Linked DNA regions of Anolis sagrei. The protein of the gene in region 1 interacts with the protein of each later gene in a pairwise test. Links are inferred from orthologs where the notes say so. Each region holds a gene or a part of one and is shown in the gene's direction. Other genes may lie near its edges.

Region 1 (3,755 bases):
TGTTGAGTAACTGCCAGAGCAGGAAATAGATGGTTAAATAGTTTAGTTGCACATTGACATTTAAATGATTAAAGATAGCTTTACTGGAGTCAACTCATGACAAATTGTAATGTTATCATCTGATGAGATTTGTAAAATATCAGCTGTTCTCTATGAACATGTCAATATTAAACTTTTTTTACCAAATTGATTTTACGTATTTTTTGATGTTGGAAAAAATTAAACTAAGGGCAACTTCAGATGACAGTATTACAGCACTATTATTCCACTTAACACCCCCCCCCCCCCCCAATGATTTTAAATACTCCTGGGATTTACAGTTTACATATAATTCTCAGCCAGAAAACTAAGTACACATCTCCATTTGGTGGTTAGGTACTACTGTGCTCTTGCTGATAATAATTCATAATTAAAGGTAAAGGTTTCACCTGACCTTAAGTCTAGTCGCGTCCAATTCTGGGGAGTGGTGCTCATCCCCATTTCTAAGCCAAAGAGCCGGTGTTGACAGTAGATGCCTCCAAAGTCATGTGGCCAGCATGACTGCATGGAGCACCATTATCTTCCCGCCGAAGCAGTACCTATTGATCTACTCATATTTGCATGTTTTCAAACTGCTAGTTCAACAGAAGCTGGGCCTAACAGTGGGAGCTCACCCCATTCCCCGGATTCGAACCGCCAACCTTGTGATTAGCAAGTTCAGCAGTTTAACTCACTGCACCACTGGGGCAGTGGTTAATTTGTACCAGTCCCTAAACTGCAAATCCCAGTTATAGCAGTTAAAATGGAATCATAGTGCTTTAATGATTTTATGCATAGATCCCCAGCCTTTATTCATCCAGATGTTGGGGGAGGGTCAATGCCCAGAAGCCTCAGCCTGCTTGGCCAGTTGTTAAGATTTCTGTGAGCTAAATTCCAGAACATCTAGACGACACCATTGGTACGGTGCGAAAGACCTAGATATATCTGAAACTCCCCCCCCCCCCAAACATTTATGTATTTATTTACGACATTTATATCTTGCCCTTCTCACCCCAAAGGAGATTCAGGGTGGCTTACAAGAGAGGCACAAATTGATGCCTTAAGTACATATAAAAATAAAACAACATATACATTAAAATCACATGATTAAAACATATAAATTAAAAACAATTACTTAAAATCACATTAGTAATGGGTTGATAAGTGTGGCAAAAGCAGAAAACTTTGGGCATAAATAATTGGTATGGTTGTATGGAATAACTTTGAGAATTAGTAACAACCAAAGTGGCTTTTTTTTCTATTGAGGTTTAGTCAATGGTTGGTAAAAGCTGGTTTCTGCTTGCAGATTTTGTAGTAAAATATTGCATTTTATTTGCTCTTTAATGCCTCTCTCCATGGCAGGTACCATACGTGACCAGCGAGATTGCTGCAAGGAGTCTTGTCAATGCGTCCCTTGCACTCGGAGATGCGTCTGTGCATCTGCCATTGGTTTTATTATACTTGCCGTTATCATTGCTGCCATTGCATTAATTGTCACAGTTGGTATCCCCCCACGTACAGCAGGTCAGTCACTATTATGTTGACTGTATTATTTCCCACTAGAGTCATTGATATGATGCCTTGAATGTGTCACAATTATTTCAATATGTTAAAGGTTGAGCTTGTTGAAGTAAGTAGTGTGTGGACACAATGAGAAGCTGAAGCCTAAATCCAAGGTTGCAGTAACAATATAGCTGAATATACCGTACTTCCTCTTAACTCCTTCCTGGAGCTCTGGGCATTTCATGAAAATCTGGTTTTCTGGATCTCCAAGACTTGTTTATCAGGGGAACTAGCAAAACCAGTTCCTGGAATTACAATGGTTAACCAGAGGGTAACTATAACATGATGCTCATCATTTTGCCATCATGTCCAGTTTTGCTCTCAGGAAAATTTCTGAAACTTGAGTAATTACAAGCCCTCTCCTGTTGCATACTTAAAGGGAAAGCTGTCTGTGGACTGATATTGTGGGTACCCACAGAGGACATAAGGGGTTCATGTTTGTCTTGACATGGCTATATTTTGATACCAAATCACCTGAAAATAGATCCCAGAAATGACCAGAAGTTCACTTCTGATTGTTAGTTTCAGATTTTCTGCTCACCTGTGGGATTGTTTTGGAAAGGTAGGGCTGGAAAGCTATGTACTGAGCAAGCACCAGTCCAAATAGCACTTGGGAGGACATTTCATATTTTTTGATGACTTTGGGAAGGTTTAGCGTTTCTTAACCTGGGGGTCGGGACCCCTGGGGGGTTTGCGAGGGAGGTATCAGAGCAGTCGCCAAAGACCATAAAAATGCAGTATTTTCTGATGGTCATAGGAGTTCTGTGTGGGAAGTTTGGCCCTATTGGTGGGGTTCAGAATGCTCTTTGATTGTAGATGAACTATACATCCCAGCAACTGCAACTCCCAAATGTCTATTTTCCCCAAACTCCAATAGTGTTCACATTTGTGCATGTTGATTATTCGTGCCAAATTTGGTCCATATCCATCATTGTTTGAGTCCACAGTGCTCTCTGGATGTTGGTGAACTACAACTCCAAAACTCAAGGTCAATGCCCACCAAACCCTTCCAGTATTTTCTGTTGGTCATGGGAGTTCTCTGTGCCAAGATTGGTTCAGTTCCATCATTAGTGGTGTTCAGAATGCTCTCTGATTGTATGTGAATTATAAATCCCAGCAACTACAACTCCCAAATGAGCAAATCAATCCCAAATCCCAACCCCACGAGTATTCAAATTTGGGCATATTGGATATTTGTGCCAAATTTCATCCTGTGAATGAAAATACGTCCTGCATATCAGATATTTACATTACAATTCACAACAGTAGCAAAACCGCAGTCATGAAGTAGCAATGAAAATAATTTTATGGTTTGGGGTCACCACAACATGAGGAACTGTATTAAGGGGCCGCAGCATTAGGAAGGTTGAGAACCACTGGTAAAAAGTAAAAAGTAAAAAAAAAGAAGTAAAAAGTAGAAAGTGAAGAGCATCCAGTGAACTCAAATGACTTTTTTAAAATGCATACACAGAAAACTACACAAATATCAAGAGGATAACACAATATTGAATTATTGTAAATTTTTTAGAGTCTATAAATACCCACTTCACATCAAAACTACAAAAACTTCTGTGCCAGGAATTCCAAAACCATTTACTAACAGAATTCATTGTAATTTGAATGAAAGCTGAAGGGTTTTAAAAATATCTATCTTGTAAGGAAATGGTAGAAAGAATAGAGATAGCATTCAAGTGCACAAGGATATATCTAAACTGAAGAGAAAAGGACTTTCTCTCTAAAAGATAAGGGTGGTTATTGTAAAAGTTTCCCCTGCCACATATATCCTTTCTATGCTCACAAAGCCAAATGCCTAAATCGCTCACAGAACATACTTCTATGATTGATAGATCAACTCTTGAAGTTATACAGGGTTAGTCAAAATGCATAGGCCAATAAGCCATTCAATTGAATGGCTTATTGGCCTATGCATTTTGACTAACCCTGTATTTCAAATTTAGACTGTCTGAACCACCGCATCAAACAATCTATCATAACTAAGATAGCTTACAATGGGCTTCTATATTTCATTTAATGGTTGTTAATAGTCTCCTTTGATATGCTGCCAGTTTGACTGATTTCTCTAAATCTCAGAGCATTCGAAGCCATTTCCTTTCATTTGGTTCTGACCAGAAAGTATATCATCTCGCAGAATTAATCATGCAGGTGCCAAAATG
Region 2 (3,755 bases), on another chromosome or scaffold:
CATTGGGGAGGGGATGGCTGGTGACTGCTGGAACAGCACTTTGGTTTTCTCGATGTTCAGTGACAGGCCAAGCTTTGTGTATGCTTCTGCGAAGGTGTTTAGAGTGGCTTGTAGATCTTCTTCTGTATGTGCACAGATGACATTGTCATCAGCATACTGGAGTTCTATAACAGATGTTGTTGTAACTTTGGTTTTGGCTTTCAGTCTGCTGAGGTTAAACAGCTTGCCATCTGTCCGATAGATGATTTCCACCCTGGTGGGAAGCTTCCCATCAACAAGGTGAAGTATCATAGCGATGAAGATGGAGAGTAAAGTTGGGGCAATAACACATCCCACTTTAAATGGGTCACTTTGGGAGCCATTGCTGTTATATTGTACATATAATATTGCTAATATTATAGTGTAATACAATGAAATACTAATAATATTAATATAATATAATATAATATTACAGTATAAGGGTATAGTACAATATAGTAATGTATAATGATAATATTGTGCAATGCTAATAATATTGTATGTACATATAACTTGTAAGACGCTCTGAGTCCCCTAATATAATATAATCCAGTTTAAAGCAGAAAACTTGGGATCAGATCCTGGGATAGATATAGCACCTGTCTGCAAGGGCCCATTGTTCTCTTCTCTGACTGCAGTATGCTAATTTATGCATAATATGCTCCTCTCTAAACCGATTCTATTATATTTACTATCTAGTTTTGCTACCTGGTTCTTGGTTCGACTGGAAAGAAACCCTCCCTTTCAAAAGGCTAGATAACATTCGCACTGCGCATGCGCAGAGCTCCTCCTCCCTAACACTCTGATGACCGACGCGGTCATTCCTTCCCTAACCCACTTTCTGCCTTCGGGACGCAAGAGCGTTCCTGGTTCACCGAGGGGGGCGTGGCGAAGAATGGCCTGGGCAGCCAATCAGGAGCGTCCTTTTCTCCTGTGACGTCACGATCTTCAGAACACTGGGATCAGCAGCAGTAGCAACAATAACAGTACCAGAGGGGGACCATTTCCCTGCGAGTTGGCCAGCTGGGAGCTGCTGCTGCTACTATCTCTGGCCTCAGGGCAGAACTACAGCCGCCAAATCGGAAAGCTCTAGAAAGAGATCACAAATAGAAACGTCTCGTCCCAGAAGCCATGTCGTCTAGCGGGGCGCCTGGGTTGCACCAAGAGGAAAATCTGCAGGGTAAGAGGAAATCTACCTCCTTAATATACAGATGGATATCACTATATCTATATATGTGTGTCTGTGCATATGATATAATTATACACACACACACATCATATATATGTATCTGTGTGTATGATATAATAATAATAATAATAATAAACTGGGTGCAGTGCCTAAAGACCTTGGCCTGCACTTAAAAACAATCAGCGCTGACAAAATCACCATCTGCCAGCTGCAGAAGGCCACCTTATTGGGATCTGTGCCTTATTGGGATAGATGGCTCCTAACCATGACCTGAACTCAGTTCCTATATTTGATTACTATATTTTTAAAGCTAAGCTATAATTTATTTATTTACTATATTTGTATACCGCTCTTCTCAGCCCTCAGGGCGACTCAGAGCGGTTAACAAAGCAAATACAATACTTAAACATGATAAAAAGAGTTAAAAACAAGTTAAAAGAATAACATTATAACAATAAACATCATAACGATCGATCCTGTTATAATTGCTCTATTCCTATTCTACTACTTGTTCTATCCACCTTCTTGACCAACCTATCCCTTAACTTGTTTTGCATATTGATCCCCTCCCCCAAAAAATGAGATTAGAGGTATCTACTTTGGAGCCCCCGGTGGCGCAGTGGGTTAAAGCACTGAGCTGCTGAGCTTGTTGATCGAAAGGTCGCAAGTTCGATTCCGGGGAGCGGTGTGAGCTTCCGCTGTCAGCCCTAGCTTCTGCCAACCTAGCAGTTCGAAAACATGCAAATGTGAGTAGATCAATAGGTACTGCTCCGGCGGGAAGGTAACGGCGCTCCATGCAGTCATGCCAGCCACATGACCTTGGAGGTGTCTACGGACAACGCTGGCTCTTTGGCTTAGAAATGGAGATGAGCACCACATCCCAGAGTCAGACATGGCTGGACTTAATGTCAGGGGACTACCTTTACCTTTACGTAGTTGCTTATGATGTTTGCTTTTATTGTTTATGATGATATTGTTTTTATGCTGTTTTATATTTTATTGTTCTACTTTTTAACTTTACGTTGTCTGGGCATTGCCCCATGTAATCCGCCCTGAGTCCCTTCGGGGAGATGGAGGCGGGGTAGAAAAATAAAATAATAATAATAATAATTGACACAAAACCACAGTATGTCACAGCAAATGAGATCTCTATGCTGGATTTCTTCTTCTTCTTCTTCTTCTTCTTCTTCTTCTTCTTCTTCTTCTTCTTCGCCGGTTCAAATCTGGGGAGTGGAGTGAGCTCCCGCTGCTAGCCCCAGCTTCTGCCAACCTAGCAATTCGAAAACATGCAAATCTATATATAACAATAGGTACTGCTCTGGCAGGAAGGTAATGGTGTTCCATGCAGTCATGCTGGCCACAAGACCTTGGAGGTGTCTACAGACATTGCTGGCTCTTCAGCTTAAAAATATAGATGAGCACCAACCCCCAGAGTCACATACAATTGGACTTTATGTCAGGGGGAAACCTTTACATTTACCTAACATTACATTTTAACTCAACTAATATAACAAGACTAAAAAATGTTAAAATTAGTAATAATTTTAAAAACATTAAAAATTTCAGAGGAGATATATATATGTAAATATATATAAATATATATAAATATAAATATAATATAAATATATGTGTGTGTTTGTACAGTAATATTATGTATATTTGTAATGTATAGATCATAGATCATATACACACATAATATATTTATTTGTATGTGTGTGAATTATATATGTGTGTGTGTGTATATATATATATATATATATATCACTATTTCTATATATTTGTTGCACTGTCTGAAGATATCTACCTATATAGATATCACTATATTGATCTGTCTCCGTGGTTCCCAACCTTTGGGTCTCCAGGTGTTTTGGACTTCAGCTCCCAGAGTTCCTAACACCTGGAGATCCAAAGGTTGAGAACCATCTATCTAAATCACTATCTGTATCTCTCACTATTTGAAGATAGATGGATAGATAGACAGACACACAAATACACACACACATGTCACTGTCTGAAGAGTTTTACTGTTGGTCTTCAATTTGGAAGACAGGCAAGCAAATTGAAAGCAAACGATCTCCAATAACCCTTCACCATCATCTTCCTGTGTAGCCCTGAAGTCATCCAAGCTAAAGATAGAATTATTATTATTTCAATGATGGTTGGAATCATATGGTGTGAAGGGAAAGGCCAGGATGGCAAGGAAACTGAATGGCTCACATCTCACAATATTTGCTTTGCATGACCGGCGAGAAAATATTCCGGGCATTTGTAATAAATAGCTTGGCTGCATCCACACTACAGAGTTAATGCAACCTGATCTCTCTTTTAAGTGCTGTGTAATCGTGGCACTTGTCGTTTTACAAGGTCTTTATGCCTTGTAGTTTGCCGATGCCCCACCAAACTATAATTCCAAAGCATTGATGCTATAAAACCTGCCTTGAGCTATGGCAGCCCAAGTGTTGTCAAACTGCATCCATTCTACAATGTAGATGCACCTGAGTTTCTTTCCACCGGTGAGGTGTGCCATTCGTTCCCTCCTTCCTAACAA
Region 3 (3,755 bases), on another chromosome or scaffold:
AGTACAACATCAGTATTAAATATTTAAAAAGGTAAAGGTAAAGGTAAAGGTAGTCCCCTGACATTAAGTCCAGTTATGTCTGACTCTGGGGTGTGGTGCTCATCTCCATTTCTAAGCCGAAGAGCCAGCGTTGTCCGTAGACACCTCCAAGGTCATGTGGCCGGCATGACTGCATGGAGCGCCGTATTAAATATTACTATATATATATTTAAATATTACTATATTAATAATGTAATATTATATTGTACTATACCATTATATTGTAATACTATGAGTAATATTACATGACATATAAATATATAATTATTAAGCTTGGGCAATCCATGCTTCTAAATGGTTCTAAAGTACTTACAAAACTAAAGTTCTGGTGATGAAATGACATCTCCTGGGAAGACAAGCGGACAAACGTCAGCGTGCTGGAAGAAGCAAAGACCACCAGCATTGAAGCGATGGTCCTCCGCCATCAACTCCGCTGGGCCGGCCATGTTGTCCGGATGCCCGACCACCGCCTCCCAAAGCAGTTGGTCTACTCCGAACTCAAGAATGGAAAATGGAATGTCGGCGGGCAGGAAAAGAGATTGAAAGACGGGCTCAAAGCCAACCTCAAAAACTCTGGCATAGACACTGAGAACTGGGAAGCCCTGGCCCTTGAGCGTTCCAGCTGGAGGACAGCTGTGACCAGCAGTGCTGCAGAATTCGAAAAGGCACGAGTGGAGGGTGAAAGAGAGAAACGTGCCAGGAGGAAGGCGCATCAAGCCAACCCCGACCAGGACCGCCTTCCACCTTGAAACCAACGCCCTCACTGTGGGAGATGTGGGTCAAGAAGAGGGCTCCACAGCCACCTACAAACCCACAAAAATAGTCATCAAGGAAGACCATCTTACTCGTCCAACGAGGGATCGCCTAAGTAAGTAAGTAAGGTGGTGAAAATTTCAGAACTCTAACAAAACTCTCAAAATTTCATAATAAATGGCAGTTCCTAATTGGTTCTGCCATTAAAATCACCAATAATGAAATAATAATTACATTTTGAGAGTTTTGTTAGAGTTCTGAAATTTTCACCACCAGAACTTTAGTTTTGTAAGTACTTTGGAACCATTTAGAACCATGGATTGCCCAAGCCTAAGAATTATATTGTTATTAGTATTATACTGCATTGCATTATAATATTAGGCTTCAGGAGAGCAGTCAGGGCGTGGGCTTATTTGGGTGCCTTGATCGCTTGCCTTCTCTGCAAGGAGCCGCCTACACTCTTGCGCCTGCGCACTGAAGGCTCAGTCCTCTGGCCACACCCCCTCTCCGCGGACGTGAGAAGCGTCAGGGAGGAAAAGCGGAAAAGGGGGGCGTGATCTCCCGGGCGCATGCGCGCTGGCTTAAAAAAGGCAGGCGCATGCGCAGCACACGCCCCGTGTTGTTTGGTGTTGTTGTCCCCCTCTCTCTCTCGCCAACCCAGACGGAAGGAGAGTCCCGCGCCGGCCGCCATGTCGTCCTCCCCTCCTCAGGAGTCGCCTCACAACAACAACAACCCCCCGCCGGGGGAAGGGGAAGCGACGCCAGCCGAGGCCGGGCTCAACAGTGAGTAGGAGCGGGTGGGCGAAGGGGAAAGTCAGGGCAAGCCCAGGGGAAGGCGAGGGGTCGCCTCCCCGCCTGAGGGAACCTTCCTCTCGGCCTGGATTGGCTGGGCCTGTCAAAGATAACCTGAATCGAACAGGAAGAATACCCCTTGGGTCTAGCAGCAGTCCTTTTGGGATGACTTACTTACTTAGGCGATCCCTCCTTGGACGAGTAAGATGGTCCTCCTTGATGACTATTTTTGTGGGTTTGTAGGTGGCTTTTTTTTTTTAATCGTGTCATCAGCAACCATTGTATTACAATTCTAACAGAGCAAAACAAACACAGAGATTAAAAAGAAAAAAAAAGAAAGAAAAAAAACCACACAGATTTTGCAAATTTGGTAGTTGACTAAATGTTCTTTGACCAGTATCTGGCCCCTTGGAGTGCCTCTGGTGTTGCCTCAAGAAGGTCCTCCATTGTGCATGTGGCAGGGCTCAGGTTGCATTGCAGCAGGTGGTCAGTGGTTTGCTCCTCTCCCCACTCGCATGTCGAGGATTCCGCTTTGTAGCCCCATTTCTGAAGGTTGGCTCTGCATCTTGTGGTGCCCGAGCGCAGTCTGTTCAGCGCCTTCCAAGTTGCCCAGTCTTCTGTGTGCCCAGGGGGGAGTCTCTCGTCTGGTATCACCCATGAATTGAAGTGCTGGGTTTGGGCCTGCCACTTTTGGACTCTCGCTTGCTGGGGTGTTCCAGCGAGTATCTCTATAGATCTAAGAAAACTGTGTCTTGATTTAAGTCGTTGACGTGCTGGCTGATACCCAAACAGGGGATGAGCTGGAGATGTCTCTGCCTTGGTCCTTTCACTATTGGCTGCTACTTCCCGGCGGATGTCAGGTGGTGCAGTACCAGCTAGGCAGTGTAATTTCTCCAGTGGTGTGGGTCGCAGACACCCTGTGATAATCGGCATGTCTCATTAAGAGCCACATCTACTGTTTTAGTGTGGTGAGATGTGTTCCACACTGGGCATGCATACTCAGCAGCAGAGTAGCATAGCGCAAGGGCAGATGTCTTCACTGTGTCTGGTTGTGATCCCCAGGTTGTGGCAGTCAGCTTTCGTATGATGTTGTTTCTAGCGCCCACTTTTTGTTTGATGTTCAGGCAGTGCTTCTTGTAGGTCAGAGCACGGTCCAAAGTGACTCTCAGGTATTTGGGTGCGCTGCAATGCTCCAGTGGGATTCCTTCCCAGGTGATCCTCAGAGCTTGACTGTTCTTAAGGTGAAAGGCGCATGTCTGTGTTTTAGATGGATTAGGGATCAGTTGGTTTTCCCTGTAATAGGCAGTAAGAGCTGTGGAGCCCTATTCTTGACCCGCATCTTCTCCCACAGTGAAGGCATTGGTTTCCAGGTGGTCGGGGTTGGCTTGACGCGCCTTCCTCCTGGCACGTTTCTCTCTTTCACCCTCCATCCGTGCCTCTTCAAATTCTGCAGCACTGCTGGTCACAGCTGACCTCCAGTTGGAGTGCTCAAGGGCCAGGGCTTCCCAGTTCTCAGTGCCTATGCCAGAGTTTTTAAGGTTGGCTTTGAGCCCATCTTTCAATCTCTTTTCCTGCCCTCCAACATTCCGTTTTCCGTTCTTGAGTTCGGAGTGGAGCAACTGCTTTGAGAGACGGTGGTCGGGCATCCAGACAACGTGGCCGGTCCAGCGGAGTTTATAGCAGAGGACCATCGCTTCAGTGCTGGTGGTCTTTCCTTCTTCCAGCACACTGATGTTTGTCCGCTTGTCTTCCCAAGAGATTTGCAGGATTTTCCAGAGGCAGCGCTGATGGAATCGTTCCAGGAGTTGCATGTGACGCCTGTAGACAGTCCACGTTTCGCAGGAATAGAGCGGGGTTGGGAGGACAATACAGTGAGGGCATTCGTTTCCAGGTGGAAGGCGGTCGGGGTTGGCTTGATGCGCCTTCCTCTTGGCACGTTTCTTTCTTTCTCCCTCCATTCGTGCCTCTTCAAATTCTGCAGCACTGCTGGTCACAGCTGACCTCCAGCTGGAGCGCTCAAGGGCCAGTGCTTCCCAGTTCTCAGTGTCTATGCCAGAGATTTTAAGGTTGGCTTTGAGCCCATCTTTCAATCTCTTTTCCTGTCCTCCAACATTCCGTTTTCCATTCTTGAGTTCGGAGTAGAGCAACTGCTTTGGGAGACGGTGGTCGGG

What was found.
Region 2: the proteins of LDLRAD1 (region 1) and BNIP3 interact in binary tests that used the Homo sapiens proteins (3 or more experiments, as listed by UniProt). The two-hybrid records come from large-scale screens. The link is inferred for Anolis sagrei from reciprocal best matches to the Homo sapiens genes LDLRAD1 and BNIP3.
Region 3: the proteins of LDLRAD1 (region 1) and BNIP3L interact in binary tests that used the Homo sapiens proteins (3 or more experiments, as listed by UniProt). The two-hybrid records come from large-scale screens. The link is inferred for Anolis sagrei from reciprocal best matches to the Homo sapiens genes LDLRAD1 and BNIP3L.

Annotation. Positions count from the first base shown.
Region 1 is NC_090024.1:172,568,757-172,572,511, forward strand, and holds the start of LDLRAD1 (low-density lipoprotein receptor class A domain-containing protein 1), read left to right. Parts: upstream 1-1,373; coding exon 1,374-1,542; intron 1,543-3,755.
Region 2 is NC_090023.1:191,285,230-191,288,984, forward strand, and holds the start of BNIP3 (BCL2/adenovirus E1B 19 kDa protein-interacting protein 3), read left to right. Parts: upstream 1-917; 5' UTR 918-1,149; coding exon 1,150-1,198; intron 1,199-3,755. UniProt on the Homo sapiens protein: Apoptosis-inducing protein that can overcome BCL2 suppression. May play a role in repartitioning calcium between the two major intracellular calcium stores in association with BCL2.
Region 3 is NC_090027.1:6,904,711-6,908,465, forward strand, and holds the start of BNIP3L (BCL2/adenovirus E1B 19 kDa protein-interacting protein 3-like), read left to right. Parts: upstream 1-1,387; 5' UTR 1,388-1,481; coding exon 1,482-1,575; intron 1,576-3,755.